Regions from separate parts of the Mus musculus genome. Here regions 1, 3, 4, 5 and 6 are each reported to be linked to region 2. Evidence: microRNA targets listed by miRTarBase, many of them from high-throughput screens and not tested one by one. Region 2 holds a microRNA gene; each other region holds the end of a gene's coding sequence. Distances are from middle to middle.
The links. Region 2 holds the annotated microRNA mmu-miR-3090-3p (UCCCAGGUGACACCCUGACUCA, at 3,017-3,038, opposite strand). A microRNA usually pairs through its seed, bases 2 to 8, with sites in the 3' UTR of a target mRNA and lowers its output. Matches are read on the target gene's strand: a 7mer-m8 pairs with bases 2 to 8, a 7mer-A1 pairs with bases 2 to 7 and ends in A, and an 8mer does both.

Region 1: miRTarBase lists Lyrm9 as a target of mmu-miR-3090-3p. The part of its 3' UTR that is shown has no 7-base or 8-base seed match.
Region 3: the mRNA of Ddx51 is a reported target of mmu-miR-3090-3p. Seed matches in the 3' UTR shown: 7mer-m8 at 3,335-3,341.
Region 4: miRTarBase lists Ddx27 as a target of mmu-miR-3090-3p. Seed matches in the 3' UTR shown: 7mer-m8 at 3,898-3,904.
Region 5: the mRNA of Prdx1 is a reported target of mmu-miR-3090-3p. Seed matches in the 3' UTR shown: 7mer-A1 at 2,084-2,090 and 7mer-m8 at 2,113-2,119.
Region 6: miRTarBase lists Tmem38b as a target of mmu-miR-3090-3p. Seed matches in the 3' UTR shown: 7mer-A1 at 1,873-1,879 and 7mer-m8 at 2,193-2,199.

What each region holds. Positions count from the first base shown.
Region 1 is chr11:78,837,713-78,843,041 of GRCm38, forward strand. Lyrm9 (LYR motif containing 9) reads left to right here. Exons shown (of 4, transcript NM_001076681.2): 3 at 378-470; 4 at 1,411-5,329. The coding sequence ends at 1,428. Among named protein-coding and RNA genes, the nearest start is that of Lyrm9, 14 kb to the left of the region's middle.
Region 2 is chr2:133,562,469-133,567,797 of GRCm38, reverse strand. Mir3090 (microRNA 3090) reads right to left here and starts at 3,090; the gene lies at 3,004-3,090. Bmp2 (bone morphogenetic protein 2) reads right to left here. Exons shown (of 3, transcript NM_007553.3): 3 at 4,902-5,329.
Region 3 is chr5:110,656,170-110,661,498 of GRCm38, forward strand. Ddx51 (DEAD box helicase 51) reads left to right here. Exons shown (of 15, transcript NM_027156.3): 9 at 1-63; 10 at 162-277; 11 at 356-472; 12 at 647-748; 13 at 919-982; 14 at 1,082-1,216; 15 at 1,412-4,327. The coding sequence ends at 1,438. Among named protein-coding and RNA genes, the nearest start is that of Ddx51, 5.4 kb to the left of the region's middle.
Region 4 is chr2:167,033,333-167,038,661 of GRCm38, reverse strand. It overlaps Ddx27 (DEAD box helicase 27), which reads right to left. Exons shown (of 21, transcript NM_153065.3): 17 at 5,005-5,099; 18 at 4,808-4,928; 19 at 4,539-4,626; 20 at 4,118-4,189; 21 at 3,717-4,023. The coding sequence ends at 4,005. It overlaps Znfx1 (zinc finger, NFX1-type containing 1), which reads left to right. Exons shown (of 14, transcript NM_001033196.2): 14 at 1-2,869. The coding sequence ends at 1,937. Among named protein-coding and RNA genes, the nearest start is that of Ddx27, 21 kb to the right of the region's middle.
Region 5 is chr4:116,697,579-116,702,764 of GRCm38, forward strand. Prdx1 (peroxiredoxin 1) reads left to right here. Exons shown (of 6, transcript NM_011034.4): 6 at 1,593-2,422. The coding sequence ends at 1,678. Mmachc (methylmalonic aciduria cblC type, with homocystinuria) reads right to left here. Exons shown (of 4, transcript NM_025962.3): 4 at 4,856-5,186. Among named protein-coding and RNA genes, the nearest start is that of Mmachc, 8.2 kb to the right of the region's middle.
Region 6 is chr4:53,858,873-53,864,201 of GRCm38, forward strand. It overlaps Tmem38b (transmembrane protein 38B), which reads left to right. Exons shown (of 6, transcript NM_028053.2): 6 at 1,010-3,146. The coding sequence ends at 1,228. It also overlaps LOC115490001. Among named protein-coding and RNA genes, the nearest start is that of Tmem38b, 35 kb to the left of the region's middle.

The sequences.
Region 1 (5,329 bases), not on the chromosome of region 2:
GTGCCTTCTCTCCCTTCCCCGTTGCTCTCCCAGCACCAGCACCTAGTGGCATCGAGGCCAATCCCTCCCCAGCACACTTCCATCGATGTAGATTCCTGTGCTGAGCAAATCAACCCCAGAGATTGTGGCTCCCCTTGGCCCTGCCAAATAACCTAGCTGCCCAGTGGCTGGGTCTCCTTTTCGCCTCCCTGCGGGCTGCACTGACAGTTCCGCTGCCAAATAAACTAGGGCTCCAAAGCTGTGGTCTAAGAGCAGGGTGGGCCGGATGAGCACACCTCAGCAGAGCTAGGTGACCAGTGCCTCACGGTCTCTTGGGACTGGGCTCTCTAAAGCTCTGGATTTCACATGGCCATGTCCGTTTGTGCTGAAACCTACAGAGTTTCCAAGTTCATTCAGATGAAGACAACTCCGAGAGAATCCAGCAGATTATTAAAAGAGCCATTGAAGATGCCGACTGGATCATGAACAAAGTAAGTGCTTGCTTGGCCCTGGCACTGGAATGGGAATGCTGTAACCTCCTCGGCCATCAGGGGGCGCTCGCGCATCACAGTTGAAAACAGAGGCACCTGCACTCCTCCTAGGTAGGAAGATAATCTCTTATGGTTGTCCCCCCCACCCCCCCTTCCGGTCCCCAAAGCCGACCTTAAAGGAAGCCGGCTAACTGGCTTGGTTCCCATGGCTCCCTCAGCTGCCCTATTCACCCCAGGACCTGGTGGTGGTACCACCCACAGTAGTCTGGGCCCTCCATATCAACCATTTATTAAGAAAATACCTCACAGACACCTATAGGCCAATCCGGTAGAAGCTGAGGGTGCCTCTTCCCAGGTGGCTCGAGTTTGTGTGAAGTTGATCAAGACTAGGCTGCTGTCTAGGACCAACACCTAGACTGTAGGTGGGATAAAGGCACCAGGAATGTGGAGAACTGGAGTGTGCCCCCAGATCCTTGTTGTCCTAGCGCAGACGCTCCAGATGTGGGGTTTAAAATCCACTTTGTAAAAACAGATTTTGATAGGGCATTGACCTCAGTGGTCGACTGCTTGCCTAGTGCAGAAGCCGCTGGGGCTTATCCCTGACAGAAAAATCAAAACAAAGGCAGGAAAGCCTCGATGATTGGCTGGGGACCCTGGGTGTCTGAGGGTCTCCTCTGCCTGGGACTTTTCTCCCACAAACAAGATTCAGAATAAGGCCGAGCCCTGGTGAGTTCCATGCTTAGTCCCAGTGCCCTCGGCCTCCCAGCCTTTTCATTAAAGAAGGAGGGCCTAGGCACCAACTCGATGTGAAGGTGAAGGGTCTCCCGATGGAGTCTCACCACCTCCCAGAAACCCCTGCAGTCGTGGAGAGGCCCGTGTGACACAACAGAGCCCTCCCCCATGGCTTCCCTCACCCGTCTCTCATCTCTCTGTCTTGCAGTATAGGAAACAAAACTGAGTGTCTGGAGCTTACGGCGAGCGCTTAGCTGCCCTGGAGTCACTTGGAACTGAGAAGCCTTCTGCTCTTGGAACAGCATCAGTTCTGGAATATTCTTTGATCTTGTTGGCTGAAAGCAAGAAATCGTAACTGACATTTGGTGAGGTGGTTCTCGTCATTGCAGCCATGTCTCCAGCGTCTTTTATGTCTGCTTTTCCAGACAGAAACGATATGCAATTTGGGGAGAATTTGGAGTTTTTTTGCTTCTTCTCTGTGTTTCTCATTTTTGCCTATCTGTTCTTTTACTTTGCCCTGAAGGCAGTTAATTTATTCTGGAGGTCCCGTCACCGATCTCCCAGCCCCATGAGAGATGTCCCCTCAGATGACCACCTGTATAGAAAGAAACGAACGGGCTTGAGAACCAGGCAGCTGTGGATCTGAATCCCAGCCGGCATACACGCCATCTGTCAGGTGCCCGAGTGAGCCTGGGGGGGTGAGGCGGCAGTCACGTGCCAGCTCACACCAGCTCCCTGCACAGGGACCTTGCTGCACAGGGACCTTGCTGCACAGGGACCTTGCGAGGAAGCCGCTGTGCTCCTCGTCCTGTTCAGTGACTCAGCTGTGAGTGCGTCTTGTCTCCTCTCAGAGTCCACACGCCCTCTTATCTGTGCCATGCTGTGTCCGTCAGTCTGTTAAGCAGCGGCTTCCTCCCAATATGCTCCAGGCAGAAACCCTGACCCTTGAAGTGGGAAAACATCTACTACACTAGACCAGCAATAAGGTGCAAGTAGGCAGGGTAGACACCAGCAGGTCCAGGCTTCCGTGCTCCACAGTGTGTCCTCTCTGGAGAGGAGATTGGGTCCAAGGGGAAGTGGCCCAGGTGGGCGAAGTAGCCAGAAGATGCAGAGAGGCCACACTGGGGGTTGAATGTTCGTGGGGCACTCAGGTGAGCTAGTGCCTGTCTGTGCCCTTGCAGTTCTGCGGGATGATGTGACCTCTGTCTAAGCAGAAGGGGCGGACAGTCCCGAAGCACGTGTGTCCACTTGTGAAAGCTCACAGTTTTCTTCCTCCTCTTTTGATTTATTTCAGACAGGATCTCAGTGTATACACTGGCAGGCCTTGAACTTTTGAACTTTCAGCAGTCTTTCTGTCTCTGCCTCCCAAGCACTTAGATACAGGTGTGCCACAACACATTGCTGCTGCTGCTGCTGCTGATAAATGCTCGTCAGGACAGTTTGCAGGATGCAGCTCACTTCTTCCTCTATGTGGGTCCCAGAGACTGAACTCGGGCTATCAGGCTTGGTGGCAAATGCCTCTATCTGTTGAGTCATCTGTTGGCTCTTATTATTTCTTCTTTAAAAAAAGAAGATCTTTATTTTATTTGTGTGTACCACGTGTGTGCAGGTGCCCTCAGAGGCCTGAGGACATTGGGCTCCCTGGAACTGAAGTTATAGGCAGTATGAGCTGTCTGATGTAAGTGTTAGGAACCAAACCTGAGTCTTCTGCAAGCAGTTAGCGCTCACACTCACGCACACACTCACGCTCACGCTGAGCCATCTCTCTAGCCCTCTATTGTTTCTCCCTGACTGCTGTTCTCTGAATAGGATTGTTCCCTCGACACGTGTGTCAAACAACGCTAAGGACTTGGGTAAGTCAGACACCCACTTGCCTGGAAGGATCATTCCTCAGAGACAAGCAGAGCCACAGGTTTGGGCTCCCAGATGACTGCCAGGCAAAGGGCAAGAGCAAAGCCGCAGTCCCTCCATCCCCACTGCTGCTGTCCAGTCCATCTGAGCCCAGGGACCAATCCTTACCTGGTGGTGTTCGTGGCAGTAGAGTAGCCATGTGTGCCACCATGCCTGGCCTTAGGCAGAGTTGTTCATTAGAATGGGGCTGAGGAGAAAGGACTAACACTGATTTGAGGAGCTGGGGCTGCCACTCACAGGGAGTGTGAGAGGGGTGTGGGGTCCCGTTGTTATGAGGGTGGTTTCAGAGAACACAATACAGATCAGTGGCCAGGTTATCCCTATGACATAGGACATTGACCTGTATCTGGTGGGGTCTCCCTATTGATAAAATAAGGGTGGAAGACGGGCTTATTTCATTTGTTGAAAGTGAGGGAGAGGGCTGAAGAGCAGTTAAGAGCACTGACTGCTCTTCCAGAGGTCCTGAGTTTAATTCCCAGCAACCACATGGTGGCTCACAACCATCTATAATGGGATTTGGTGCCCTCTTCTGGTATCTGAAGAGAGCAATAGTGTACTCACATTTATAAAATAAATAAGGCCGGAGCAAGCAGGGCCAGAAAATATATAAACAAAAAGAAAAAGGAAAACATAAAGAAAAAGGCTACTTTAAAAAAAAAAGAAAGAAAGAAAGTGAGGGAGAAAAACTGAATCTCCATGAATGTGTCCTTAATATTTGATCCCTCTCCAAGATGTCTTCTCCAGTCATGTGTGTGTGTAAGTGTCCACATGTATGTGTGTGAGTGTCCACACACACATGTGCCAGTACCTGTGTATACCTGTGTGTGCACAGGGAGAGCAGGGGTTGATGATGGGTTGTCCCCTCTGTTGCTCAGTACCTGGCATTCTGAGGCAGGGTCTCTCCCCACAGGTCACTGATTGATGAGACTGCTAGCCTGCAGATTCTGGGGGTCTAACTCATGCTCTCTCCTGCCACACACACACACACATCACCCGGGCCTCAGGTGTGTGCCAGTGAGCCCAGCTTTTCTGTGGGCATTAGGGGTCTGAATGCAGATCTTACTCATTGTGCTGAGCTGTCTTCACAGGCCTTTCCTTCTTGTTCTTAAGGACCTGGTGGCAGGTGGAAGTCTGACTTCAGAGTTGCTTTGCAGTTGCTGGCCCTACTTGATGGGATGGGGACAAGAACGGTGGCACGGGCTCTGTCTGCAGTGGGTAGACCATGGAGTGGCATCAGTTTGATATGGAAATGGCAGTGTGGAGAAGATCCCCTCCCCAAGCATGTTAAGTTAGCATAGGACCGAAGTCAGTGGAATAGCGGCCAGTGATGGCTCCCAAGTGCCAGAAGCCAGGCACAGATGGAACAGTATCCAGTGCCAACCTCCATAGGTGCCTCATCTCACAGGCTGAGGCCATTCTGCTCCTTGAATATGATTGGCTACAGGTCCTGGCTATTGACCTAAGTGCAACAGGTAGAATCCAGGCGTATGCACACCCTTCTTTGTTCTATTAATAAGAAACCGAATTCTCTCTGGTTTTGTTCGAGTATCGGTCAAGGAATTTAGTGAGAGTGGGGTGTAGGGGAGCCAGCTAGTGCATCTCCTGTGTTTTTGAGGGCTTTAGTTAAGGATTGTAATGTGACCTCATTGTAAACAAAGCTACCCTATCAACCAAGAGAGGTAATTGGCTCCTGCAAGATTTAGCTCCTAGGGGCTGGCAAGATGGTTCCAACAGGCACTGCTGTGCAAACCTGACGACTGGAGTTTGATCCCCTGATTCTGTGTTAAGGAGCAAAGAGAACACCAATGCCTCTCACCTCCACATGAGACACGTGGCATACACACACCTGCGTTCACACATCATGCACACACACAGTGATAACCATAAAAACAACAGTAATCTAAAGCATACATTATTTTGGGGCTGGAGCCATAGCTCAGTAGCTAAGAGCACCTACGGCTCTGGCATTAGTCAGAGTTAGAACCACATCTGGTAGCTTACAACTGACTGTAACTCCAGCTCCAGAGGGATCCAATACCTCTGACCCTGCAGGCACCTCCACTCAGGTGCACACACCCACATGCATACAAATAGTTTAGAAAATTATCATAAAATAAAGAAATTATATAGCATGCTTATACCAGTATGTACCAACGCTCCTAATTTTATAAATGACTAGCCCAGGTACTGTGTTCCCTGCAAAGTAGTCTCCTACA
Region 2 (5,329 bases):
TTGGCCGATCTATAAAGATCCCGATTTTACAACTCGCTCCTGGAGCACGTTACAGAAATCAGAAAATGACTTTGATTTCAAATTAGGCTTTCACGAAGGTTTTAGAAAACATTTTCAATACCATCTATCAGGCAAAAACTTGGGGTCGCTTCTTCGAGACAGGGCCCTCCACACCCAGGCTTGGTGCTTCTAAACATTGCCTCCAACAGGAATCACTCCCTGACATTGAAACAATTGGAGGAGCTTGGAGCCGGAGCTCAACTTTACTAGTGATTTAAAACATGCCCTTGGAAACCAAGTTAGCTTCCAGGTGGGAAGCAAGTTCCAGCAAATGGGAACAGCAGTTAAGAAAGCTTTCAGACAATCCTGAAGGAGCCAGACTTCAAAACACTCTTCAGGGTGAGGGAGATGGCTCAGTAACTAAATCGCTTTCTGCACAAGAAGAAGCAAGTGAATGAAGCGCTTTAGCACCCACATTAAAACATAGCTGGGTATGGTGGGTAATGTGTCTGGACCCCAGTGCTGGGGGTACACAAGGGGCGGAGACAGGAGGATCCCTGGGGCTCGCTGGCAGACAGCCTAGCTAAACTGATGAGAACCAGGTTCAGTGAGACGCCTTTTCTGAAAAACCAAGGCCCAGAGCTATTGAGAGAAACACTGGATGTTAACCTCTGACCTCCACACGGCTGTGCACACATGTGCACGTGCACCTGAATACACATGTGCAAACACATGATCGCTGTACACACACACACACACACACACACACACACACACACACACACACAATTTCTACCAGTAAGCTATCTACTCAGCAAAAAACAGGAAGAGACAAGATCTTTGAAAGAAACCTGCACCTTCCCCATAAAGTCAGAGATAAAAGAGTTCAGCCACTCAAAATTTGTCGTCTTTAAAAATGCCTTTTGAATCGCTAAATTTTGTCTGCTTGGTTGTCTAGCAACCAAGTGCTGAACAGAAACTCCACCCAAACACAGTGAAGCAGCACATTCAGTTCATCAGGCTATGTGCATGCATGTGCGTGTGTGTGTGTGTGTGTGTGTGTGTGTGTGTGTGTGCATGTAGTGTCATCAACGTCTAAGATAGAAACTTGCTTGCATACAAAGAAGAGAAAGTCTTGATTGTAGATGGTACAATGACATGGGAAGCGAGGAAAAAGCAACAAGAAAATGTGCAATGCGGGATGAGGGTATAGTTTCCACACACTGGGCTAAGGCACGGTTTACACTCTTAAGCAATAAAAACAAACCATTAAGCGAGGCCCAGCCCCGTCAGGAAGTGTAAAACAGTTCTTGAAGCTTTGCAGTCGCTATACAAACGCTTTTCATAAACTCTGCTTCCTGATCTTCATTAAATGTTAACATCAAGTTGCCATGGGGCAATTAGCTTGCCTCCTGAAATCAATAAAAAATCAACAATTTGGAAATAGTTGTACAGTAAAATAGTTCAATAATTATTCTCTCATAGTGTTGTGGCCAAGCGGTTCTAGGGTAAATTCGGTCCAGATGAGTTCCTGCTCCTTATGAGGAGAGCTGTGAGCAGATCGGGGCTTTGCTGAGAGACCTCCTCATCAGAATGGACTGCAACAGTAATGGACTCCCAGCAATGCCTTGGCGAGGGGCCCAGCACACAGGCAAACACAAGCTTTTAAGTGCTGTTAAAGTCAGCGTATGGTGTAGCACCTCAGAGGGTCTCCATTCAGAGTTTAGAGACCTAAACAAAATGATAAATCCATAGGGATTGGCCAAGGGGGTGGGGTGGGGGACGGTTGATGCTCTTGCCTCAGCATTCAGACTCTAGACATGAGCAAACGAAAATTCCTTCAGAGATGTGCATGCATGTGTGTGCATGCGTGCATGTGAACATGTGTGCTTGTTAGCATGTACGTGTGTATGCAAATATGTGTGCTTGTATGTGTGTATGTGCACATGTCTGTTCACCCACAGGGATGTGTGTGTGTGTGTGTGTGTGTGCGTGTGTGTGTGTGTGCATGTGTGTGTGTGTGTGCGTGTGCGTGTGTGTGCGTGTGTGTGTGTGTGTGTGTGTGTGCATGTGTGTGTGTGTGTGTGTCTTACACAACAAGATTGGTTGAGATTAAGAATATATTCATCCTGACATTTCTTCAACAAATATTAAAGTCTGTGTTGCTTCTAAGAGTTTCTGAGAGCCGAGTAAGGTGCTGCCCAAGCTACCCTTGATCCCCACAGGGCATTCTGCTAACAAGTGGCATTCATGCCAAGCAAAGCCAGGAAGTTATTTCTGTGCTGACCCTCTTTGCAGAGGGAAACCCATTTTTTTCCCTAGCTTAAGCCCATTCACATAAGCACTTTATTCCAAGCCAACTGCAAAAAAGATTCGAACTTCCATTAGAACAAACCTCCCATACCAGATTTGGAGTCCTATGCCACCCTCTAGGTTCAATGAACTTATACAGTGTACTGTCTTATAACTTAGAAAAAAGTCAAGCATCATTTTAGTATAAACAAATGCTTCAACCATACGACATCTACCCTCTGCCTTCAAAGAGATCCCTTTAACTCAGGTGCTTGGCACTAACATCACACAGGAGCAGCTCAGCACACTGACTTAAGTGTTCAAGTTTTTTAAAGTACATTTCTAAGGACTTGCACCTGCTCCCTCATACATATAGATGTACTGACACGCATTTGACTAAACTGACTGCAGCGTGCCCAAGCAAGCAAGCAGAGCAGATTTTACAAGATAAGCAACCCAGTGTTTTCATGTCTAAGAGTGGCTAGAACATAAGATTGCCACTCATCTTGTTGGGAAAAAGAATGTCTTTGAAAAAAAAAAAACAAAAAACAAAACTGCAGGGCACTGATTCAGATGCCATGCAACGCAGCTTTGCCTTCTGTTTCTTCTCATTTACACATGGCTTTTACACACGAAGGGGCTGTACTTGAGCCAGCTTCTGTAGCCATGATCGAAAGAACAGTCCACACAACCTTGCTACTCAAACTGCAGTCCTCTGGCACAGTGAGTCAGGGTGTCACCTGGGAGCTCATTAGAAATTCAGGATCTCAGGCCCCACCCAGACCACTGGGACAGGAATCATAGGGTGGCAGGACTCCACCACGTGGGCTGTACACACATCAAGCTTTTTTGCTTTCCTGGAGGCATTCCTGATGACTGAGGTGCCCGCTAAACTCTAACAAGTTTTATTTAGAACTTTGGCCCCTCAAGTTAGTTAGAAGTTCACTTTGAAGTTGGTAGGGCGGGGAGCTGGTGAGAAAATTCTGCCCTAGAGGATGTCATAAGGCTTTAAGATATGGTGGCGGGGTGAAGGAAAGAGGAGATGCAATTTATCCAAGTAGATGTGTGTGCCCTGCCCCCTCAACCCCACCCTACCTGTCCCTTCCCCTGCAAGACATAAAACAGAAAAGGAATAGTGCAGGCTGTTGTGACCTCCTCACATATATGCCGATCTATAACGCCGCCCCCCTCGCCCCCACAATATAACCATTCTTTACTGCAAAGCTCTCTTCCTTTGTCCTTTCAATCAAAAAGTAGGGAGGGGCTCAGCATGTCAGCACCCAGTGAATCAGTATCTTAACAGCAAGGCAAGTGACTAGAAATTTGCTAAGTGATTTGGCTCATTTTCGATAGTACAGATGAGTGTTCTCCATCTTAAAAAAATAGAGAGAACACCTGAACCACTCGGGGTATATACCAATGACATAGCTCCATTTACTGTGACGTCTCTCTCTGAACCTAAATGGAAATCAGAAGTGCGACCATCTACATATGTAACATAATCTTCACATAGCTATGTATAAATTAGAACATGTACACACTATATGCACATACATGTATGTATATACCTATATGTCACATGGGGCCTGCTGTGCTACAAGTAATTTTAGCCAAGAAAATCAAGACCAATGAAGCAGAAAATATGTACTGGATAGACCTGCCAGAAGGTGGGATCCTTATGGAATGATCGCACTCCCATCTGGAGGACTTGGAGATGTAAATATGTGGTTCATTCATTTTATAAGATGTTAAGATTGCAGTTTGTTACAGTGCCCATGGCAAGCAAGAGACATTAGAGAATGACTGAAGGACCAGGAGGACAAGGCTACCCATAGTTGGGTCTAATCGTTTCTACCTGTGCAACAACTAAAGGGATAAGGAACACATCAAAAGCTAACCAGGGTAGTCATTTAAAACAAGATCTTCAGAACCTTAAGGTTTCCGAAGGTAAGTGTGCTTGGGGTCATTGCACGGAGGTCCTTGGGAAGAATTTAATTATAACAGTCTGTCTTGCTGTAAGCACACCGCTTTCCAAGTCAGTTCTAAGGCACGGGTCAGGAGAGGAGGTGAGACCTGGGCTTCAACCATGACGGAGGGCTACAGGACACACACTCCGGAAACTGACCTGAAACCCTGCCAGGAACTAGCACTGGATTCCCCAATCTGCAAACAGCCACAAAGCCCTCCCTCCCTAGGTTTTGCTTCCAACCTGAGCACCAAAGCTCTGCCATCATAGAGGACTCACTTTCCAGAACCTCATCTGACTTCACTCTGTTTGAGCATCTGGCCAATTGGTAGATGTGCTGAGACGCTGATCAGACATTCTTTAATTTTTTTAGGCACTGTGGCCTCTGTTGTATGATATATCATCTCTGGAACTTTACCTTGGGTTCTGCAAACTTTGCTTTGATTTAGGCATTGGCTTTCTCTCACTCCCCCCGCCCCCTTATGAAAACTACTAACTCATTGGTAAGTCCTTTGGTCCAACTGGGGTTTGCTTAGAATTCTCCAACCATTTAAGTCATGTCCCCACCCCAACCTTGTCATCATTCACCCAAGAAATGAAAATGCAAACACAGGTAGACACTGCAAACACAAACAAACCATTTGCTCTCACGGGTTAGGTTTTATAGGATGAAATGCCAGAATTTTGATATTTATTATCTGAAATGGGTTTAACATTTGGAGAAATATGTTCAAACACATATCCCTGGAAAGAAAAGCAAGCTGACAGGTCAGAGAACAGGGTGCAGGCAGGAAACATATGCTCAATTTTGCTGCGTGTCAGGCAAATGTAGAAAATTGGGTGCTTTGGAGAATAGAGAGATTGCTGATAGGGTAAACACAAAATACAAGCCAATTTCTGCTTCTTTATGAGGGCCCACAAGATAATCAATTGTACACATATATGACTACAATGTTAATAAAGAAGAAATATTATATTTTATTTAGTACTTTGGCCAGATCAGCCCCCTGGAAGGGATTATAGGCTTAAGAAAGAACAAGATGCCATCATCACTTCCTGACATAGTCACAG
Region 3 (5,329 bases), not on the chromosome of region 2:
CCTAAAGACACAGCTGAGGTGGATGAAAACTCGGGGAAGTACACCTTCCCCGTGGGGCTCACGGTGAGCAAGGAGGACCTGTGGAGCAGGCTAGGGTGTGGGGGCAGGCTGGTGCCTAGGTCCAGGGCTCCTGGCTAGCGCCTGCTGTCCATCTCCCACAGCATCACTATGTGCCGTGTAGACTCAGCTCGAAGCCACTCATTGTCTTACACCTGGTCCTCAGGATGAGCTGCTCAAGGGCTCTTTGCTTCACCAACTCCCGAGAAAACTCCCACAGGTAAGGTGAACTAAGGTGGGTGGAGCCAATGTACACTAGACTCTCGTAACACCTGGCTTCTATTTCTTCTCTGCCCAGGCTGTACCTATTAGCACAAGCTTTTGGGGGTGTGAGTGTGGCTGAATTCTCCTCCCGCTATGGGCCTGGCCAAAGGAAGAAAATCTTGAAGCAGTTTGAACAAGGAAAGATCCAGCTGTGAGTACCAGGGAAACAAGATAGGACCTACTCTATAGAGTTGGGTTGTCGTTGGGACCCCCTAGTTTCCGAGCAGCTGATTTCCAAGAGGGACTTGGAACTAACCCTGGCGGAGTAGGCACAGGGGTGGATGTTTGTTCCTGGCCCTCAGCCCTACTGCCTGTGTTTCATCAGCCTTATCAGCACAGATGCTACTGCTCGAGGCATTGATGTGCAGGGTGTGGAGCTGGTGATCAACTACGATGCCCCACAATATCTGAGGACCTATGTGCACAGGTAAGGGGTACTTGGCAGTGGCCATTGATAGGCCACATTACGGATTCTTGGTCATCCTATGTAGGATCACCCTGCATGATGGTCATGTACAGTATGGCCAAGAGAGGCACTGTCCTGTCAGGTCTCTGGGCCAGGAGCCACTGTCCAAAAACACTCGTGCTCGGTTTCAGGGTCGGGAGAACAGCTCGAGCCGGGAAAACTGGACAGGCATTCACACTTCTCTTGAAAGTGCAGGTAAGATTGTTTAGTTCTTAGCAGACGTCATGGGCAGAGCCAAGCTGCTACAGATGCCGGCCTGATCAGACTCCTTCCCATGAAACGCCTCCCTTCCAGGAAAGGAAGTTCCTTCAGATGGTGTCAGAAGCTGGGGTGCCTGAGCTGACACACCATGAGATCCCCAGGAAGCTCCTGCAGCCGCTGGTTGCTCGTTATGAGACAGCCTTGTCTCAGTTGGAGAAAACTGTCAAGGTGAGGCCTTCTGCAAGTGGAGGCTCTGCCCTCGAAATGCCATCACACACAGGAGAGGGAGGCAAGCAGGAAGCAGCCTCATGCCATGGGAGGTGCCTCCTTTAGCATGATGTCTGTTGTCTCTCAGGTGTAGGGCTAGGGGGCTGTAGCTAGCAGTAGGGATGAAATGGTGCAAAGCTCGTTTTCCCTCCACAGGAGGAGCAGAAACTGAAGGCAGCCTAGATGAGAACAGGGCCCTGGAGGGAAGATCGTGCGAACAGAAGATAAGTTCCTTGGGGTTCCAGTGGAAACAACCCTTCTCCCCAGTGCCGTGGGCATCTGGTCGTCTTGGTTGATGCAGCCTAGATGGTGGCCTCGTCCTGAAAAGTAATGGCTCTCGGGTTGGACTGCTGGTGTCCAGTTGGTCTTGGGAAATAAGCTCAGGTGAAGCTGAAGGATGCCTTCTGGAGTGTGAGCAAACACTATGGTGACTGGACTGTGGTGATCAAAGTGCTTATACGTTAGCGTCTCCTGTCTACAGAGAAGCTATGGCGAGCCTGCCCCAGGCAAGTCACTGGAGCCCAAGAACAGGTTGGCAGCAGCCTTGAAGATACTTCCTTGGCTACTAGTCTTCAAGATTGTACTTTATAATTAGCCTCCCACCCATTTAAGTTCTTAAATGATGTGAGAGTCCTTCCCTGAATATATATAGTCAAGGAGAATTAGCGCTTACCTGTGCTTTTAAGAAGGCCTGTTTTTAAAAAGTCAGTGTATCAAAAAAGATAAACATTTTCATTTGTATTCAGAAAAAAATAAATGGATCACTTGAACCTATACAAATTCCCGATAGCTCCAACACAGCCACTTAACTACTCCTCTAACCCAGAACACCTAGGCACAGGCTACGGGTACTATCTTCAGGCCCTTGGAACTTGGATAAGGGGAAGCTTCCCACAGCTTTAACCAGGCCTCCCTCCCTTTTAAATTTCACATATATGAGTGTTTACCTGCATGTATGTCTGTATAGCATATATGCCTAGTGCCCAAGGAAGCCAGAAGTGTTTGTTGGATCCCCTAGAACTGGAACTACAGGCAGTTGTAAGCTGGATCCTCTACAAGAGCTTTAATTACTGAGCCATCTCTGTGTCCCTGTCCAAGTCCTTTTTAAATCTGAAGCTACCACAGCCCTGGCTTCCCTTACTGGTGCCTTGTTCCAGTTGCCTTGGTTTTGCCTCTTCTGTGACCTTTCAGAACATGCATTGCCCTAGACCCAAGCTAGCATCACTTTCTTTCTCACAGGATCAGACCCTTCCCCTACACCCAGAGATCTCCCAAACACTGTCTGCCAAGATTAGGTTAGTAAGATCATGTGCTGGCTTTCTATCTGAATTGGTGATACTAAAAGGGATAGATGCTAGGATAGCTGACTGGGTGTTCACAGTGTTAGAACAAGCTTAATAACTTGTAATTAGACCAAACCGATATATAAAGTGCATGAGGATTGCAGTTATGAGGTTTGGTTCATGTGTGTTGGGCCCAGGAAATGTTTTTCCAAAGCTTGTTTTAAGGAAATGCCTGTTTTCTAACAAAATCTTAGGTAGAGCCTAATAGTAGGAATAAAGTAGGCAAAGCCATTGTGGGAGGTTCAAGACTGACAACAGCATCAGGCATTTTGCAGAAGAGGTTAAAACTGGGGGAATAGTTTCCACAGAAGCACCGAAACAAACGTGGGCTCATGTCAACATTAACCCTGCCAGGTAGAAGCCACTGAAGCTACCCCACAGGAGGACACAAGACAGTGAAACATTTGGAGTAACTCACTCATCACACTATAGGGCCTGTTTGTTTCCCAGGCCTGTAGTGGTTACCTTACAGCTTTCTCTGCCCTGGACCATAGCTCTGTGGAATTTGCATCTGACCCTAGCCTCTTGCTGTGTGGGAGGTTGCTCACTGGGGAGTAGTACCCAAAACTGAGAGAGTCAAAGTAGCCGGTGTCATTCTGATTCTTTTTTTTTTTTAATGTTTATTTTGTTTGCATGTTTATTTGTGTACCATGTGTTTGCAGTCCATTATGGAAACCAGAAGAGGGGGACTGAGTTACAGTCAATTATGATCTACCATTTAGGTGCTGGGAATTGAACCTGGGTCCTTTGGAAAAGCAGCCAGTGTTCTTAACTGTTGAGCCATCTCTCCAGCCCATCATTGTGTCCCTTAAATCACAGCCTTTATGGGTAAATACTGATCTCTCACAGGGTAGTCACAGTTGATTTTTGAAAACAGCTGGTTTTTTTAAAAAAATGTTTGTTTACTGAGCAGGGTTCTCTGCATAGCCTGGCTGTTCTGGAACTTGCTCTGTAGACCAGCAGCCTTGAACTCTCCTGCCTCTGCCTCTTGAATGCTGAGATTAAAGGCCTGTGCCACCTTCACTCCTAGCCAGATACAGATGGTTTTAATGTGAGTTATTAGAGCTAGGATTTTCACAGACCAAAACTGAAAGATCTTGCTGATGAGAAGTCTGGTCTGAAGGTCAGACTTCCTTTTGAGTAATCAACATTGTGTTACTAATGCTTTCAGCATTTCATACAGTGAAATTTGATCATATTCACACACACACCCTTTTCTCCCATATCCATCCTTACTCTCACCTCCCCACCCATCTAGCCCCAAGGTTTTCTGTTGTTGTTTAAACCCATTGAATTGATTTGTATTATGGAGTGTGGTTCCTGCCCTGCAATGTGGTCAGCCTACTAGGGGTCACACTACCAAAGAAAACTGAGTCCCTCTTTCAGTAGCAGTAATAACAGTAGTTCCTCAGCTTATACAGGTCTTGTGCATGCCATCACAGTCTCTGTGAGTTCATATGCCTTACTGCTCTATTGTGTCTTGAAAGCATTTTCCCTTGAAGTTATGTACTGCCTCTGGCTCTTAAATTTTTTTGTACCCTCTTCCTTAAAGATCCCTGAGCTTGGACAGAGAGGTGTGAAATGTTCCACTTAGAGGTCAACACTCCACACACACACTCTCACTCTGGACTTGTTGAGCAGCTGTCATCTGAAAGCTTTTCTGATGAAAGTTGGCAGTACACCTACCTATGGGGATAGCAGTGTCATTAAAAGTCATTTTTTACCCTGTGCTCATTTTACCCTGTGCTCAAGCCTGTGACTTATACAGCCACAGATTCTTGGCTCCATTAACAGCACCTACTATTTCATGGAGTAAGCCTGAGATTTAATCAGAAAGTGGTTGAGCAACTAGGGAAGGCTCAGCAGTTAAGAGCATTTACTTGAATAGGGTTTGGTTTGGTTCCTAGAACCCACATGGTTTACAACTGTCTACAACTCCAGTTCCAGAGGCTCTAATATCCTCTAAGGGCACCAAAGGGCACCAGTTGTACATGGATATGTTGAAGAAAAAAATTATAATTTTCAAGGAAACGGTTGGTGCCTGGCTTGGTGGCCCACACCTTTAATCCCAGCACTTGGGGGCAGAGAACGGTGAATCTCTGAGTTCAGGCCAACCTGGTCTACAGAATGAGTTACAGGACAATCAGGGCTACATAAAACATATCTACAGAAGGTCTTTTAAAAGGCCTTTAATCACAGAAGAGCACATCAGATGCCATTACAGATGGTTGTGAGCCACTATGTGGTTGCTGGGAGTTGAACTCAGGACCTCTGGAAGAGCAGTCAGTGCTCTTAACTGCTGAGCTGTATTCAGCCCCAGCCATATCTAATCACTTGAATGATGTTTTGTTGTTGTTGTTGTTTTGCTTTTTTTTTTTTTTTTTTCTCGAGACAGGGTTTCTCTGTATAGCCCTGGCTGTCCTGGAACTCACTTTGTAGACCAGGCTGGCCTCGAATTCAGAAATCCTCCTGCCTCTGCCTCCCGAGTGCTGGAATTAAAGGCATGCGCCACTACGCCCGGCTCGAATGATGTTTTAAAACCGCTGAAAATTCCATTGTGTAAAGGTGCATTTTTTTCATCAGTTGATGGGCTTCTAGGCTGTTTCCATTTCCCGGTTATTGTGAATAGAGCAATTAACATGGAGAAGCAGCACCCTGGAGAAGTAGATAATAGAAGCTTGGGTATATGCCCAAGGATGTAGCTGCATCATGGGGTAACTTTATTCTCAAC
Region 4 (5,329 bases), 33 Mb from region 2:
CCCTTGTATCCAAAGCTTCTGACTTCCAGAAAGTACCGGAAGGAGGCTGCAGCCGGCCCTGTGAGTTCCGGTTGGCCTGTGGTCATGTGTGCACACGTGCCTGCCATCCATATGACTCCTCCCACAAGGAGTTCCAGTGCATGAAGCCATGCCAGAAAGTCCTCTGCCAGGATGGGCACCGGTGCCCAAATGTCTGCTTCCAAGAGTGTCAGCCTTGTCAGGTGAAAGTGCCCAAAATCATTCTGAAGTGTGGTCACAAACAGATGGTCCCTTGTTCAATGTCAGAGTCAGAGTTTTGTTGCCAGGAGCCTTGCTCCAAGATACTAAGATGTGGTCACAGATGCAGCCATCTCTGTGGTGAGGATTGTGTGCGGCTGTGTTCAGAAAGGGTCACCGTGGAACTTAAATGTGGGCACAGTCAACTGGTTAAGTGTGGCAATGTGGAAGATATAAAATATGGTCTGCCAGTCAAGTGTACCACCAAGTGTGACACTACTCTAGATTGCGGCCATCCCTGCCCAGGCTCCTGTCACAGCTGTTTTGAAGGGCGCTTCCATGAGCGCTGTCAACAGCCATGTAAGCGCCTGCTCATCTGCTCACACAAGTGCCAGGAGCCCTGCACTGGTGAGTGCCCACCCTGCCAGCGAACATGTCAGAACCGCTGTGTCCACAGCCAGTGCAAGAAGAAGTGTGGGGAGCTGTGCAGCCCCTGCGTGGAGCCCTGCGTCTGGCGCTGCCAGCACTACCAGTGCACCAAACTCTGCTCAGAGCCCTGCAACCGGCCCCCATGCTACGTGCCTTGTACCAAGCTGCTGGCTTGTGGCCACCCTTGCATCGGTCTGTGTGGGGAGCCATGTCCCAAGAAGTGCCGTGTCTGCCAACCAGATGAAGTCACCCAAATCTTTTTTGGCTTTGAGGATGAGCCTGATGCCCGCTTTGTGCAGCTAGAAGACTGCAGCCACATCTTTGAAGTGCAAGCCTTGGACCGCTTCATGAATGAGCAGAAGGATGATGAAGTTGCCATCAAGTTGAAAGTCTGCCCCATCTGTCAGGTACCCATCCGCAAAAACCTGAGGTATGGAACCAGCATCAAACAGCGGCTGGAAGAGATCGAGATTGTCAAGGAGAAGATCCAGGGCTCTGCAGGGGAGATTTCAACCAGCCAGGAACAACTTAAGGCCCTGCTGAAGAGCAAGACCCTCTTCCATCAGCTGCGTCCTGAAGAATTCCTAATACTTCAAGAGAAGCTGGCCCAGAAAAACCTGTCAGTGAAGGACCTGGGCCTGGTGGAGAATTCTATCCGCTTCTATGACCACTTGGCCAACCTGGAGGGGTCACTGGAGAAGGTGCATTGTGGAGAACAGCAGAGCGTGAGGACTCGACTTGAGCAGGTCCACGAGTGGCTGGCCAAGAAGCGCCTGAGCTTCAGCAGCCAGGAACTGAGTGACCTCCAGAGTGAAATCCAGAGGCTCACCTATTTGGTGAACCTCCTGATGCGCTGCAAGATGGCCGAGAAGGTGAAAGGCAGCATAGCAGAAGAGGTCTCCAGCATCCGGAACATTCTTGAAAAGACAAGTAAGTTCACCCAGGAAGATGAACAGCTTGTGCAGAAAAAGATGGATGCTCTGAAAACCACCCTTCCCTGCTCTGGCTTGGGCATCTCAGATGAGGAACGAGTGCAGATTGTCACTGCCATGGGTGTTCCTCGTGGGCATTGGTTCAAGTGCCCCAATGGCCACATCTATGTAATTACTGAGTGTGGGGGCGCCATGCAAAGGAGTACCTGTCCCGAGTGTCAGGAGGTGATCGGTGGGGAGAATCACACTCTAGAGAGGAGCAACCACCTGGCCTCTGAGATGGATGGAGCCCAGCACCCTGCCTGGTCGAACACAGCCAACAACTTCATGAACTTTGAGGAGATCCACAGGATGATGTAGAAGATGGCACCTCAAGGCCTTTTGCCCTGCCACCTCAGAGCCAGGGTTGGCTCCTCCATGGAGGAACCAGTTTATTAGTGTCCTTTAGTCTTCGCACTTGTCTAAGGATCCACTTTTAGGGCTTGCCCACATGTGATTCTATATGTACCCTGCGCTAGAGTAAGCACTTTACCCCCAGCACTGAGCAGAGCCCACAGTTCTCAGCTCCTCGACTGTAGCAAGTAGGACTGACTCCTGGGAGCTTCCGGCCTCCACCCGGGGATATTAGGGTGATTGGGTCCTGGCATGGCCAGCACTTCTGCGCGTGCCCAGGGTGCACTGCTTCTCATGTCCAGGCCCTAACTTGCATACTACCATTGTAATAACAGCAACCCAGAGAGAGCTTTAGGAACCACTTTACCTTCAAGGAGCACAAGAACCCAGGCACCCTACTCCTTGGGCTCCTGCCCTCCTGGAGATGGAGGCCTGTGACAGGCACTTCAACTCTCCATGGCCCAGTTATATACTCACTGTCCCCAGTGGGGCGGGGCTTTCACAGCAGACACAAGCTGAGTGACCCCTGCACCCTCGTCAAACTTGCACTCAGATAGCAGGGGTGGATGTGTCTCTCTGCAGGAGAGGTTCTGTGGTGGTGGTGGTGTCAGCAGGTTCAGTGTCAGCAGCACCTCCTGTGAGTCTTTATCCAGGCACCCTCCCTTGCAGCCTTTGCCTGGGTAGGGTTAGCATGCCAGCAGCTTCTGCAGGCCCCGACTCCAGGCCTACTGCCTGCATCTGCATCTCTTTCCATGTTCCTTAGAACAGATTTAGGCATCTCAGGTCCTTTCTAATGTTGTCTAGGAAAGCCCCTTTCTTATTGTATGCATTTCCTTTTTTTGTCTTTACTATGCACTTTAACCTATAAAGCCAATTAATAAAAACAATGATTGAAAAAAGCCTGTCATCTCTTATCTGTGCTTGCTTTGTTGCTGTATTGATAACTGATGCACCTAAGGTTTCAGCTGTGTCCAACAACCATCACCATCCTAGACCCATGGTTTGTTTCTCTTCCTAACTTTGATTAGCAATTGTGGGTAGGGCACAGCCTATGGTGAGGCATGTCATTTTTGGTAGTGGAGGTCATTTAACTGATGAGCCAAATTTTACCCATGGTAACATTCTCTAAGTACAGCAAATGTCTCCTGAGTCCCGAGACTACACTGCTTGCTGTTCCTAGCACATTCACTGTGCTTGACCATGCGGTGGGCATTGGTGTCAGGACACTAGGGAGGGGCTGCGTTTCTCCTTCCACTGCCTGGGTCCCCAAGATGGAGCCCCGGTCAGTCTTGCCTTTGTTGACTAAGACTTCTCACCGGCCCCATCTTTTAACATGGAGATCTTCCCACCAAAGGCAGAGCCAGGTCTGACCCACAGCCCAGCAGCAGGTGAGCTTTGACTTAACACAGAGCCCTGAGCTGGCAGCTGTGAGCAGGGCATGCAGCTGGAGAACAGGCCCTTTGCAAACGGAGGTAAGGCAGTCTAAACTCACCAGATAGACTACTTGCATTTAATATGTGTAGGGAAGCCAGTCAGGAAGGGAACCCTGGCACAGCAGTGCGTACCTGTAACCCCAACAATCTCTACAGTACCACAAATTGGAGGCCTTAACAGCAGGCTCCAAGCTAGCCTGTGCTACACAGTGAGATGCTCACATTTTTAAAAAGGCATGCATGCATAAATGACTAACACTAAGAAACAGCTCCTAGATACTAACCCAACAGATTCACAGACAACAGGCTTGTTCAAGAAGGTCTGCTGTTCTTAAAGATTTTATTTATTTTATGTATGTGAGTACACTGTAGCTGTCTTCAGACCCATTAGAAGAGGGCATCGGATCCCATTATAGATGGTTATAAGCCACCATGTGGTCGCTGAGAATTGAACTCAGGACCTCTGGAAGAGCAGTCTGAGCCATCTCTCCAGCCCCAGGTTTGGGGTTTTATATATGGAAAAAAACCAGACCAAGACAAGATGACTTCCCACAGGGAAGGGATATAAAATTGTCCCACCAACTTCTTCACACCACTGAGACTACTTCTTTCTCTTGTACCTATTAAGGAAATCAATATTATAAGTACTGCCTCCCACCCAGCCTGCCTCTCCGCCCATGGGTACTGCCTCTGCCCTCTACAGTGCAACATCACCTGGACTTAGATTTGAAGTTCCCTCTCCTCTGGCGGGGCAGACCTGACTGTTTCCTCTCTTCAAAGGAAGGGCTGTAAGACAGATGAAGAATGAGATGGGTAGGCTGTGGGACACGTGAGGGATGTCACCCATATTGGCTTCACAGGCCAGCCCAGGTGGGATGGGTACCCTGAGGGGAGTGCAGTGCCTGGGATTCAGTCTCCTGTGGGCTTGTGCAGAACAATGTGCAGTTCTGGAAGCCAGACACCAATTTCACATCAGTGGGCAGAGGCTTTTTGAAGTTGTCTGGATGAGGGGGCTTATGGAAGCACACTAAGTTCTGCTCTGCTCATCATTACAGCATTGGGAAGCGCTAGGCAAGAGGCAGAGTGAGCGAGCATGGACAAGGGTGCTTTCGTGTGAGCGGCACTTTAAACCTACCCAGCCCGATACTGTTTCAGGGCCTTCTTGCTTGTGTTGGTGAGTTCTTCATCAAACACAGACTTCTGCTGCTGCTTCTGCTTTTTAGCTATACACAGAGAAAAATGGGTCAGAGGCTACTGAGTTCCCTGACACTGAGGGAGAGAATTCCAGAATCCATGGAGGGCCAGGTTCAAGGATACATCCCAGTTCCTCCAAAGCTTGATCACTGCCATCCCTGCCAGCTCTTGCCATGGTGCGAGCCTCAGAATGGACACCCTATCACTTACCAGGGCCTGTAGGCTCGTCCTCAGGCATTGCCCGTGCTCGCTTGGTTCTGCGATTCCTCTTGGCCAGCCGCTCTGCAAACATCTGTGCCTTGAGGATTTCAAACTGGGACCTCTCCTCTGCCTGGGGGCAGAGTGAGGGATGAGCACAGAACACACCAGTGCTTCATGGGACCCTACTCCACAGGGAGGCCACTCACCGTCATCTCCCCCTTTTTCTTGGCATCCTTCATAAACTTCTTCCTTTTCTTCTTTCCTCTTAAGGCCAAGTCAAACTCCTGTAGAGCCTTAGCAACTAGAGTGAGGACAGAGTGTGGAATTTAGGGGCTATTTGATTATGTCATTAAAGCTTAAAATGAGAAGGAACTAGAGGTGACAGCTCACTGAGTAAAGTACCCTTCAGGGAAGACTGAGGGCCTGGGCAGGACTGCTCCCTTAATGGTTGCTGGGAGAAGGGGAATTGAGGTTTTCAGTGGTGCAGCCACTGGCAAGGTGACCCTGTTCAAGAGAATCATCCCACTCATG
Region 5 (5,186 bases), not on the chromosome of region 2:
AGGACTCCAGACTTATCCTTGGCTAGAGTTAACTCCTTAGCTACTTAACTACTTAGCAACAGTTAATCAGCGCCATTAGTCTGTTTGAGATGTACTTAGTGATTATGTGGGGTCTTGTTTCAGATCACCCACTTGTCCTCTGCAAGTCATTCAGTTAGATACTTGGCAGGATGGGTACTCCCTCACTTTCTCCCATTTCCTAGAAAACCTTGTCCCAATGAGAATTCAGGGATGCTTCACCAACTGGTCCTGTGGATTGGTGTTGAGTAGGCCCAAACTTGAGTTTATAATAAAGAGACCCTAATGCGATTGCATTGGAGTCAGCTCCTGGTTGGTCTTTGGGGCTCTAGCACCTTCTGTTGCATGCTTGTTTGTTTGTTTATTATATGTAAGTAGCTGACTTCAGACTCAACAGAAGAGGGCGGCAGATCTCATTATGGGTGGTTGTGAGCCACTATGTGGTTGCTGGGATTTGAACTCAGGACCTTCGGAAGAGCAGTCAGCACTCTTAACCACTGAGCCATCTCGCCAGCCCCTATTGCATGTTTTAAGTTTGGTTTTGGTTGAGACTAGGTCCTGCTGCGTTTTTGCCTTTCATTGGATGTTTTGCTATCACCTCTTCCCACTCCACCCCCCTTTAAAAACATTTTAGTAGTATTTGGAGCATATAAAAAGTTGTACAGAACTTGTATAAAATTGTACAAATACTTACACATCTACAAATTTTAGTGGCTTGTCATGTATATTTTAGACAGGTTATTATAGGCATAGTATAGATTAGAAGAGTTTGCCAATGTTAGTATGAAACTAAGCAGAGCAATTCAAGAGAGGCGGAGAGGGAAAGGAGATTGAATTAGTTAGCCTAGAGAGGAGTTTGAGCCAGATGAGCTGAGTAGAATAGCCAGTTAGAGATCAGAAAGCCTCAAGCTGAAAACATTCTAGGCCTAGGTAAGATTGTACAGAGGCTAGACGTCTTCAGGACTAGGCCTAGGTTAGCAGACAGAGGCAGCAAAGCAAGCCTTGGAGATAACAATTGGTTCAGGAAAATAAAAGATAAATATCATAGGCTGTAGTGAGGTGTAATTAAACATTGTTAGCTATACCAAAATCCTGAGTGGCAGATTTCAAAGTTGATCAGATTTTTTTTTCTTCCCCCAGGATCAGACTTTTAAATTAAAGTTTATTTTTAGAATTATGCATGTAGAAGGTGTTGAGTGCCAGGCAGTTGCACACCGTCAGATGTGGGCTGTCTTCTCCAGCTGCTTTGGGTTTGGGGGGGGAGTTGAGGGACAGAGTCTTATCATCCAGTCTAGCCTGTGGAATTTGGCCAAGATAGGTCTCACTTGGCTAGAATTCAGGGCTGGCCTTGAACTTATTTCCAGAGATCTGACTGCCTTTGCTTTTTGAGTGCTGTAGTAAAGGTGTGTGCCATAAAACAATGTGTAGCCTAGGTTGGCTTCAAATTCATAACCTGCTTGCCTCCATATCTTTACCATAGCCTGTCAGCATGTGCCACAGAAGACATACAAGGATGAAGGGGAGGGAAATACACAGCTAAACAGGTTACTAATTAAAAATCTTTCTCTTGGCAGTGTGTCCAGCTGGCTGGAAACCTGGCAGTGATACCATCAAGCCTGATGTCAATAAGAGCAAAGAGTATTTCTCTAAGCAGAAGTGAGCACTGGACCATTTTTCTGCCAGGCAGCATTGAGCAGCCAGAAGAAACTCTTGTACTCTACTCGTGCTTAAACACATGATGTGGTGTGATTCCAGATAAGCCTTTCCTACAGGGCTGGGGATGGATAGCCTTTCTTCCACTATTGGTAATGGTCTGAGCTGTGTTTTGGGCAGACCAATCTTCTATCAGTCACAGAAAACAACCTGTTAATTCTTTTTTCTTCTTTTTTTAAGTATCTATTAAACGTGAATTCTGAGAACTTGGTGATTCATTCTTTAAAGGCAACATTGGAATTTTAAAAAGGACTTTATTTTCATGAGTAGGTAAAAGTGTTTGAGTGTTGTTTATCTTTTTTAAAAAGAATGTTTCCCCAGCATGTGTACCATTTACCTGCCTGTTGGATACCCTGGGACCATGTGGGTGCTGGGAATTGAACCTGGGTCTTCTATAAGAGCAACGGGGTTCCTAACCATTGAGCTGTCTCTCCAGTCTCTTAACTTTTGAGACAGGATCTCTCACTGATCTAGAACTTGATGTATATGTGAGGCTAGTAAGCTCTCAGGATCTACTTTTCTAGTGCTGGTTTTATAAGCATGGATTACCATAGTTGGCCTTTTGTTTTTCGAGACAGGGTTTCTCTGTGTAACAGCCCTGGCTGTCCTGGAACTCTGTAGACTAGGCTGGCCTCTGAAAGATCTACCTGCCTATTTAATCTGCCAGGAATTAAAAGTGTGTGCCACCACTGTCTGCTTCATGCCTAGCTTTTTTTTTTTTTTTTAAATGGGAGTTCCATGGAGTAAATTGCTTCCTCACAAGCATGTCACAGCTGAACTATCTCCAAAGCCCCTGTTTTTCTTAGAAAATTGGGTTTGAAAGGTTGAAAGGTGCCTCAGGTCTGGAGACAAAGCTTTTGGTAGAGTGCTTGCCTGGTATTCTGTTTTACTTGTTGCTGAACACAGCAACTAAAAAGTATCTGGCTTATACTTCCTGGTCACAGTCATACCTGAGGTAAAGTCAGGGTAGGACTTCAAGGAGGAACTGAAGCAGAAAATGTCCCACAGACCACTCTAATCTTGGAAATGTTTAAATTGAGGTTTCTTCTCCTGGGTGAATGAATAAATGAAAAAAAAATACTGTCAAGTTGACAGAAGTTAACTATTACGTTTAGTGTGCACAAGCCTTGTTATAACCCTATTGCCATGTAAACAAGGTGTGATAGTACACACCTGTAATCTCAGTACTAGTGAACTGAAGGCAAAAGGATCAGAGGTTCACCTGTGTGATGCATTAGGCCTGGTCTTTAAAGGGAAAAAAAGGCTTCAGTACACATACCCACACAGAAGAAAGTTTTTAGTTTAACAATATTTTAGATTGAAAAGCAGACCCAAGCCCTGCTGTCCTCTCAGCCATTGCACTGCAGTTCATGTTTGCTGGGTTATAGGCAAGTCTGGGAAAGATTTATTTGAGCTGTTTAGTGCTGGGAGGGTTGCATGGAACAGAATTTTTGCTTCTTAGGATAAATGCCTAGTGTCTGTCTGCTCTGCAAAATAAATAGGACTTGGCCAATAAGAAGTTCATTGGGTATCTTAGAGTTTTATTGCTGTTAAGAGACTCTGACCATGGCAACTCTAAAAAAGGAGAACATTTAATTGGGGCTGGCTTATAGTCATTATTTAGTCCATTATGGTGAGAAACATGGCACAGTACAGGAAGATATGGTGCTGGCTAAGGAGTTGTGAGTTCTAAGCAGAAAAAGATGTGTGTGCCACACTGGGTGTGGTTTGAGTATAGGACACCTCAAAGCCTGTTCCCACAGTGACACTTCACACCAAGACCACACTTACTGACAGTGCAATTACCTATGGCCGAGCAGTCAAAAACAGTCTAGGGACTGTGCCTACTCAAACCACCACATTAAAGATACTTGCCACATGGTGGAAGAAGAGACAATTGACTCCTTCCTACAAGTTGTCCTCTGACTTCATAAATGCACTGTGATATGCCTCTCTCCCACAAATATGAATGTAATCTAGGAGGAAAAAGGAATGACCACTGGGCCTGTCAAGTTTTAATCTCATAGATGAGTGCTAGATTAGGCTACATGGTAACACTTCGCTTGTTTGTAGACCAGAAGAATGTGTCTGACCTTTTGGGGCTGGAATGAGAAGCAGTTGTGAGCCACCTGATGAGGCAGTCTTAATTGAACTGGGTGCTTACTGAGCTTTGCTGGCCAATAAGCTCCAATAATTGTCCCCTTGTTCCCAGCAACCAAAGTATGGAACATTGGAGTTCTGGGCAGGGCACAGCAAAGTGCTTGAAAAAGTTATTAGGGCTTCTTTTTCCCTTTTGCCACTACATTTTTATATCACGGAATAAGTAACACTAACCTTGGAAATGTTACACCTACCAGTTTTCAGGATGCATTTTTAAGATTTACTATATACATGTTATATACATGTCATGTATACACATGGTCTCCCCGCACATATACCTGCGGGCCAGAAGACAGCACCAGGTCACATCATGTGATTGCTGGGAATCACTCAGGACTTCTACAAGAGTATCCAGTGCCCTTAACCTCTCTCCTTCCTGGGTGTAATTTCTTTCTTTCTTTTTTTTTTTTTTTAATAATTTATTTTAGTTTTTATTAGATATTTTTTTTCCATTTTTTATTAGGTATTTAACTCATTTACATTTCCAATGCTATACCAAAAGTCTCCCATATCCACCCACCCCCACTCCCCTGCCCACCCACTCCCCCTTTTTGGCCCTGGTGTTCCCCTGTACTGGGGCATATAAAGTTTGCAAGTCCAATGGGCCTCTCTTTCCAGTGATGGCCGACTAGGCCATCTTTTGATATATATGCAGCTAGAGTCAAGAGCTCCGGGGTACTGGTTAGTTCATAATGTTGTTCCACCTATAGGGTTGCAGATCCCTTAATACCCTCAGTAGTTTGCTTCTCCCTCCCTGTTGCAGGGTTTGGAGGGCGGGGGTGGATTCCTGTTCAAGGAAACATGATTGAGTCTGAGACTGGTCTGTCTCCTGTTTTAGTTTTCAACAAGTAAAAACAGCACATTACAATTTACCAACTAACCTCCCTGGACCCTGGGAGTGAAATTTGAAATATCAGAATTGGGAAACTATCTCTGGAATCAACAAACAGGCAAACAAAGTTGGTGGCTTTGGATATGATTGTATTCAACTACTTGTATTTTAGCTGTGATGAGAGAATATTCCTTTCTGATCCTGTAAAGTCAGGAAGTTTCTTCTGGATTCTTGGTTAGGGTTGACAAAATAATCCTATGACATCATGTCCTTCCAACATTCCAGAATTCAAAGTACATCTATTTGAGCATAAGTATAAGATTGCCTGAGCCTTTAGTAATAGCACACTGTAGGTCGGGGCAGTTTCAATGTAGTTTACTTAAATATTAATTCAGCATAGCTCAATGTGGTGGGTACCCCTAGGAGCTGCTAAATCTGTGATTCTCAGCCCCCAGGGGTTGTT
Region 6 (5,329 bases), not on the chromosome of region 2:
CACACTGAATGATACATTATTCTTGATATCAGGCACCCCAAGCAAGTGGGTTGTGTAGGGGCCTCCTTTAGGGATGTCATTGCAAACGTTTCTAGTTTGATTCTTTTTTTTTTTTTCCCTGTGATCTGGAAGAGCTGACTGTTACAGAGTCTTAGGGCTTTGAAACTAAGCTAGATCCTGAGTTCTCTCTGCATATCCACTAGGGGATTAGTCTCATTTCTAGATCAAGTCTGGACATTGCTGAGCAGTGTGATTTATGAGGTAAAGGATTGGAACCACTTTTCAGTCCAAATTCTGATGTCTTTGTTAGTCTATACTTAAGTAATTCAAGCAGAAAAGATTGGTGGGAGGATGCTTTCTGTAGTGTCTTTTTGGGATATATTCTGCAGCTCCTGAAAGCCTGCACCATTGGCCAGAGTGTGTTGTTAAGTAGTAGTTGAACCCAAGTCTGTATTGTGTCTTGCTTTCCATTCAATTTGCTTTTTATTTTGGGGCAAGTTACTTAACCTGTCAGAGCTGTGACTATTCCTCTCTGTGATGAAGGCAACATTAATTGTTGCATTAAGTTCAAAGTAGAGAGGAGTATAAAGTATTTACAATTCTGACCCATGCCAGACATATAGTAATGATAGCTGTATTGGCTGTATGTGTAGATGCTAGATAAGATTATATCTCATCTAAAAAAAAGATTATATCTCATTTCCCTTGACTTCCTTATCTGTCTGTCTGTCTATCATCTGTCTATTTCTCTCTCTCTTGTTATTTTTTCTTTTTAAGTTTTGGTAGTAATGGTTATACTTCATTTGGTGTACCAGTATCAGGTACATTTTTAATGAATAATCTTTAAATTCTTAGCGATCTGAGATTTTTCCCAGAATTTACCATATTTTTTTCTCCTACAGATTAAATGAAAAATACATTTGAATCCCTTTGCCCACTATTTTTCTCTCTCGGTTTTAAGAAACAAAAAGTGTTTGTACTGAAATTCAAAGTTAATTTTTCCCCCTAGGTAACCATGATGATGACAAAGGATACTGCTGTGACTCTCACTCCCTTTGAGGACACCCTGACTCGGATGCTTTTTGGCCGGCGGCAGCAGCAGCAGTTTTCATCGAGTGAAAAGAAAACTGAAGTCAAACCGTCTTCCAATGGTTCTGCCTCAAGTGCATCGAAGCGGGGAGCAGAGCCTTCGGGTGGTGCTAAGAGACACGCCAAGAAAGAAGACTGAGGGTCGCCCTGGGCGTCGGAGGCAGGAGGAGGAGTTACTTCTCTCAGAGTGTGCCCGTGGTTCTGTGAATGATGTGAGAGAGCGCTTATGTGTAAGGGTGGAGGAGACAAAAGAGGAAGTGCTTTGGTTCAGGGACACCGCTCGCTCTGCTGGTCGTAGCTCTTGGGGTCACGAGTGTATCATGTGAATTTATTTTTCTGGTGTAAGAGATTCTCATAATTATTTGGATAGTTTTATATTGATAAAAGAATAATTTTTTAAATGTTACAAAAAGTTCACTTGTTACTGCAAAATTCTAAGAATTTAACAAAAAATTCAGTATTTTTTTTTACCTTTTGAATGACTATAATTGTGTTTTAATTCTGCAGAATTAAACTTTTACTTCATATTTCCAGTATAATTCCTGTATATAGAAGACGATTCCTATTTAATTTTGAACATGGAGAACTTTTCCTAAATACTTTTTAACCTAAAATAAACTAATAGTGTACATTTGGTGTATACAGTTATTTATTTTATATATCTTGCACACATTAAAAATACCTGAAATTGTCTACAGCCATACCACCCTGAACACGCCCGATCTTGTCTGATCTCTGGAGCTAAGCAGGGTCGGGCCTGGTTAGTACTTGGATGGGAGACCGCCTGGGAATACCGGGTGCTGTAGGCTTGAAAAAAAAAACCTGAAATTTATTTTAGTTTCAAGTATTATTTTTCATTATTTTTAATATGAGTCTCAGTTTGAAGTTTATTTCTTGCCCTTGTTTTAAAAACTACTTTTTCCTTAGAAAAGCAGGGTTACAATTTGTGTGTATTGTTTTCTTTTTGCAACAGGAGTCTCACTCTGTAGCCCAGGCTGGCCACAGACCTTCTACCTCAGCTTCCAAAGTGCTGGGATTATGGGTCCGGGCCACCGTGCCAGGCTAGCGGTGTAGTTTTTATTGTTAATAATCCTGTGGTTGGAACCTGGGCTGTTTTGTGTCACCAGCTGGAGAGAGATAGTCTTCACATGTTGTATGTTTCTCCTGACTCAGTTGGTCTGAACAGGCTGGTGGCATGTCTCTGTGACTGAACAAAAAGTACTGTCATGGCTGAAACGGTGTCCTGCACCTCTTCCGGCGATCATTGCTTCACGAGTTTATTTGACTGTCTCTTCTTGCAAGTTTGCATTTGGTATCTCTGCTCAATAGATATGTGCGTGTATTTCTAGTTTTATCTGAAATGAAAGTTGTTTTCCTGTGAAAATGCTCAGCTCTCCTGAGGACTGTCTTCCCACATTTGATGTAAACCACAGAACCTAACCTTATGTGGCAGACTACTTGACTGAGACAATACAACATTAAACCTGCTGTCTCGTGGACAAAGTAAAAAGCAAGCAAGCAAACATACTAAGTGATAGATTCTATTTGCTCGATTTGGTGCATAACTGCCATGTTACAACATTACAGTTCTGTAGGATGACTTTCATCCTAAGGACGTGGGCCTGCCGTCTGTGTTAGGCATTTTTGGTTGGTTAAGAAGCACTTAAGTGATATTCAATATATAAAGTTTTCCTTTTTTGTTTTTTTTTTTTGTGTTTGTTTTGTTTTTCAGAACAGGGTTTTTCTATATAATAGCACTGACGGTTCCTTTTTTAATTTTTAGCAAACTTGCACACTTGCAGATACTTTACTTGATTAAGAAAAAGATTTTGAGTGGCACTTTTGATAACCTACGTACGAGAAAAATGCTTATTTTTGATATTGTGACAAAAAAGCACTAAATTGCATTTTCTATTATATATTTGACAATCTGTAGTTAAAAACTTTGCAAAATTAATATGTTATTGACCAGTTCTGGTTTTAACTGTAGTTAAAATGGTAAGAATCTTGTTTTTCATTTGTATTAAAAACAAATTCATTAAAATAAGTATTTTAGTATGCAAGGGGTATTCTTCTTCTTTTTTTTTTTTTTTTTTTGGTATTGTTTTGAGGAAGAAGTTCAGAGTTCTGTGTTATTTTGATACTCGTGACTCACAGTCTGAAGGGGACATGGCACTTGAGAATGGATTAGGCTTAAGACCTCCTACCCTGGATCTGCGCAGGCAGTCGACTCTCAGAGACCAGCTCTTTATTCCTTCCCTACCGGGAATCCTAGATGTGGTCCATAGGCCAGCTTCACACAGCCCAGTCTCACCTAGGGGAGCTCGGAAGCTGCTGGACCATGGCCCCCTGGGGGCAGTGATGGAGCCCCTAGCAGAATGTGCCTAAATACTTTCAACCCAGGTCACCAGATTCTTCATTCTTCCTTGCTGACAGTTTTCAGTAAGAGAGAGAGAGAGAGAGACCAGGTATGTGTTAGGTGGATTTCACTGGGAACTCGGACCAGTGGCCTTTCCAGACTGAGAGCAGTGAGGGAGTGAAGGGTGCACACCTCACTGGGTGCAATCTGTTTCTTTCAGCACACCGTGACTTTCTAATTAAAACGGACTTAAGGGAAAATATCTACTTCAAGTCACAAGTTGATTGCAATAGAGAAGAATGTTAAAAACTGAACCGTGTTTAAGATGTTTTGGAAGAAGAGGTAGAAAGACTGTAAGGTCCCCTCAGGAGGGGATGGATGACAGGGTACATGTCTTCCTGACCTAACAGGACTGAATTCAGAGACTGTCGGTGTGCACAGGGCCTGGAACTTTGAATGTAGTACAGACTGTTTGGAACTCCAGGCTTCCCCGTCCTGGTTTACGGTGTGCTGGGACTGCTTAGCTAACACAACTTATTCTTACTGTCCATCTTTTACATGAAGTAAAGTTGGTAAGTGCCTGTGCACCTCAGGATTCCTCCCTGTGTCTGTGCAGGTGTGCAGATGGAGGGTAGAGGTCACGGTTGGGGGTGTGCATGTGTGGGCATGGGTGTGCCATGGCGTGTGTATGGAGGACAGAGGACAACTTCCAGGAGTCTATTCTTTTTTTTTTTAAATATTTATTTATTATTATATCTAAGTTCACTGTAGCTGTCTTCAGACACACCAGAAGAGGGCATCCGATCTCTTTACAGATGGTTGTGAGCCACCATGTGGTTGCTGGGATTTGAACTCAGGACCTTCAGAAGAGCAGTCAGTGCTCATAACCTCTGAGCCATCTCTCCAGCACCCCCACCCCCAGGAGTCTATTCTTTTTCACCAGGTGGGTGACCAGGAGTGAACTTGGGTTCAGGCTTGGCAGTAAGTTCCTTTACCCCCTGAGCTGTCTCGATTCCCTAATCCTCTTTTTGAGATGAGGTCTCAGTTAACCTGGAGCTCACCAGGCCGACTACACTAAGCAGCAAGCCCTGCGATCCCTGGACTGGTATCATAGCTCTCTCCATAGGTGATGGGGATCTGAACATGGGTTCTCACTGCAAACACTATACCTACCACTCTACCCTCACCTCAGAAATTGAGTTTAAACAAACACCAATGGCTGTGAACTCCTGACCAGAACGTGAATATTACAAGGACTCCAGGGAATTAATATCCAGTCAATTCCTTCTCCCAAGGGACATAATATAAAAGGAATCTTAGCTCATGTAGCTATCTTAGAAACTTAACGTATTTTTAGACGCTTGTAACTTGTGTTTATCCAAAGCTCATAGTCTACTTAAGTTCCACCATTCAGTCACCCTGCTGATGAACATCAGGCTGTTTCTAACTTGGGGTGTTTCAAATAAACAATTATGAACACTTTTGTGCAGCTTTTGTTAATTATGTTCTTTTTGACAAATGGTAGAAGATATGGTGGATCATGCTTGATTTTATAAAAACAAAGCAACTTGTGTGTTTTCTTCCTCCCAAAGTGATTGTACCATTTAATGCTCCAGGACAGTGTCTTGAATGTTCTAGTTGATCTGTGTCCTTAGCCAGAGTCTCAGTATTGTCAACGTTTTAATTTTGCCCATTTCTAGGGGATGCTTTTTGGGGCCTGAGGCTTTCGTTACTCCGGCTAATGATTCTGAACACTTAGTGTCTGTTGACCATCTGACTGCCTTCCTCTGAATTATCTGCGCCCATGTGGAACCATGTTACCAGATAGACGTGAGAACTGGACAGGTTGAGTGAGCTCAGACCCCGGGAATCTGAGACCGG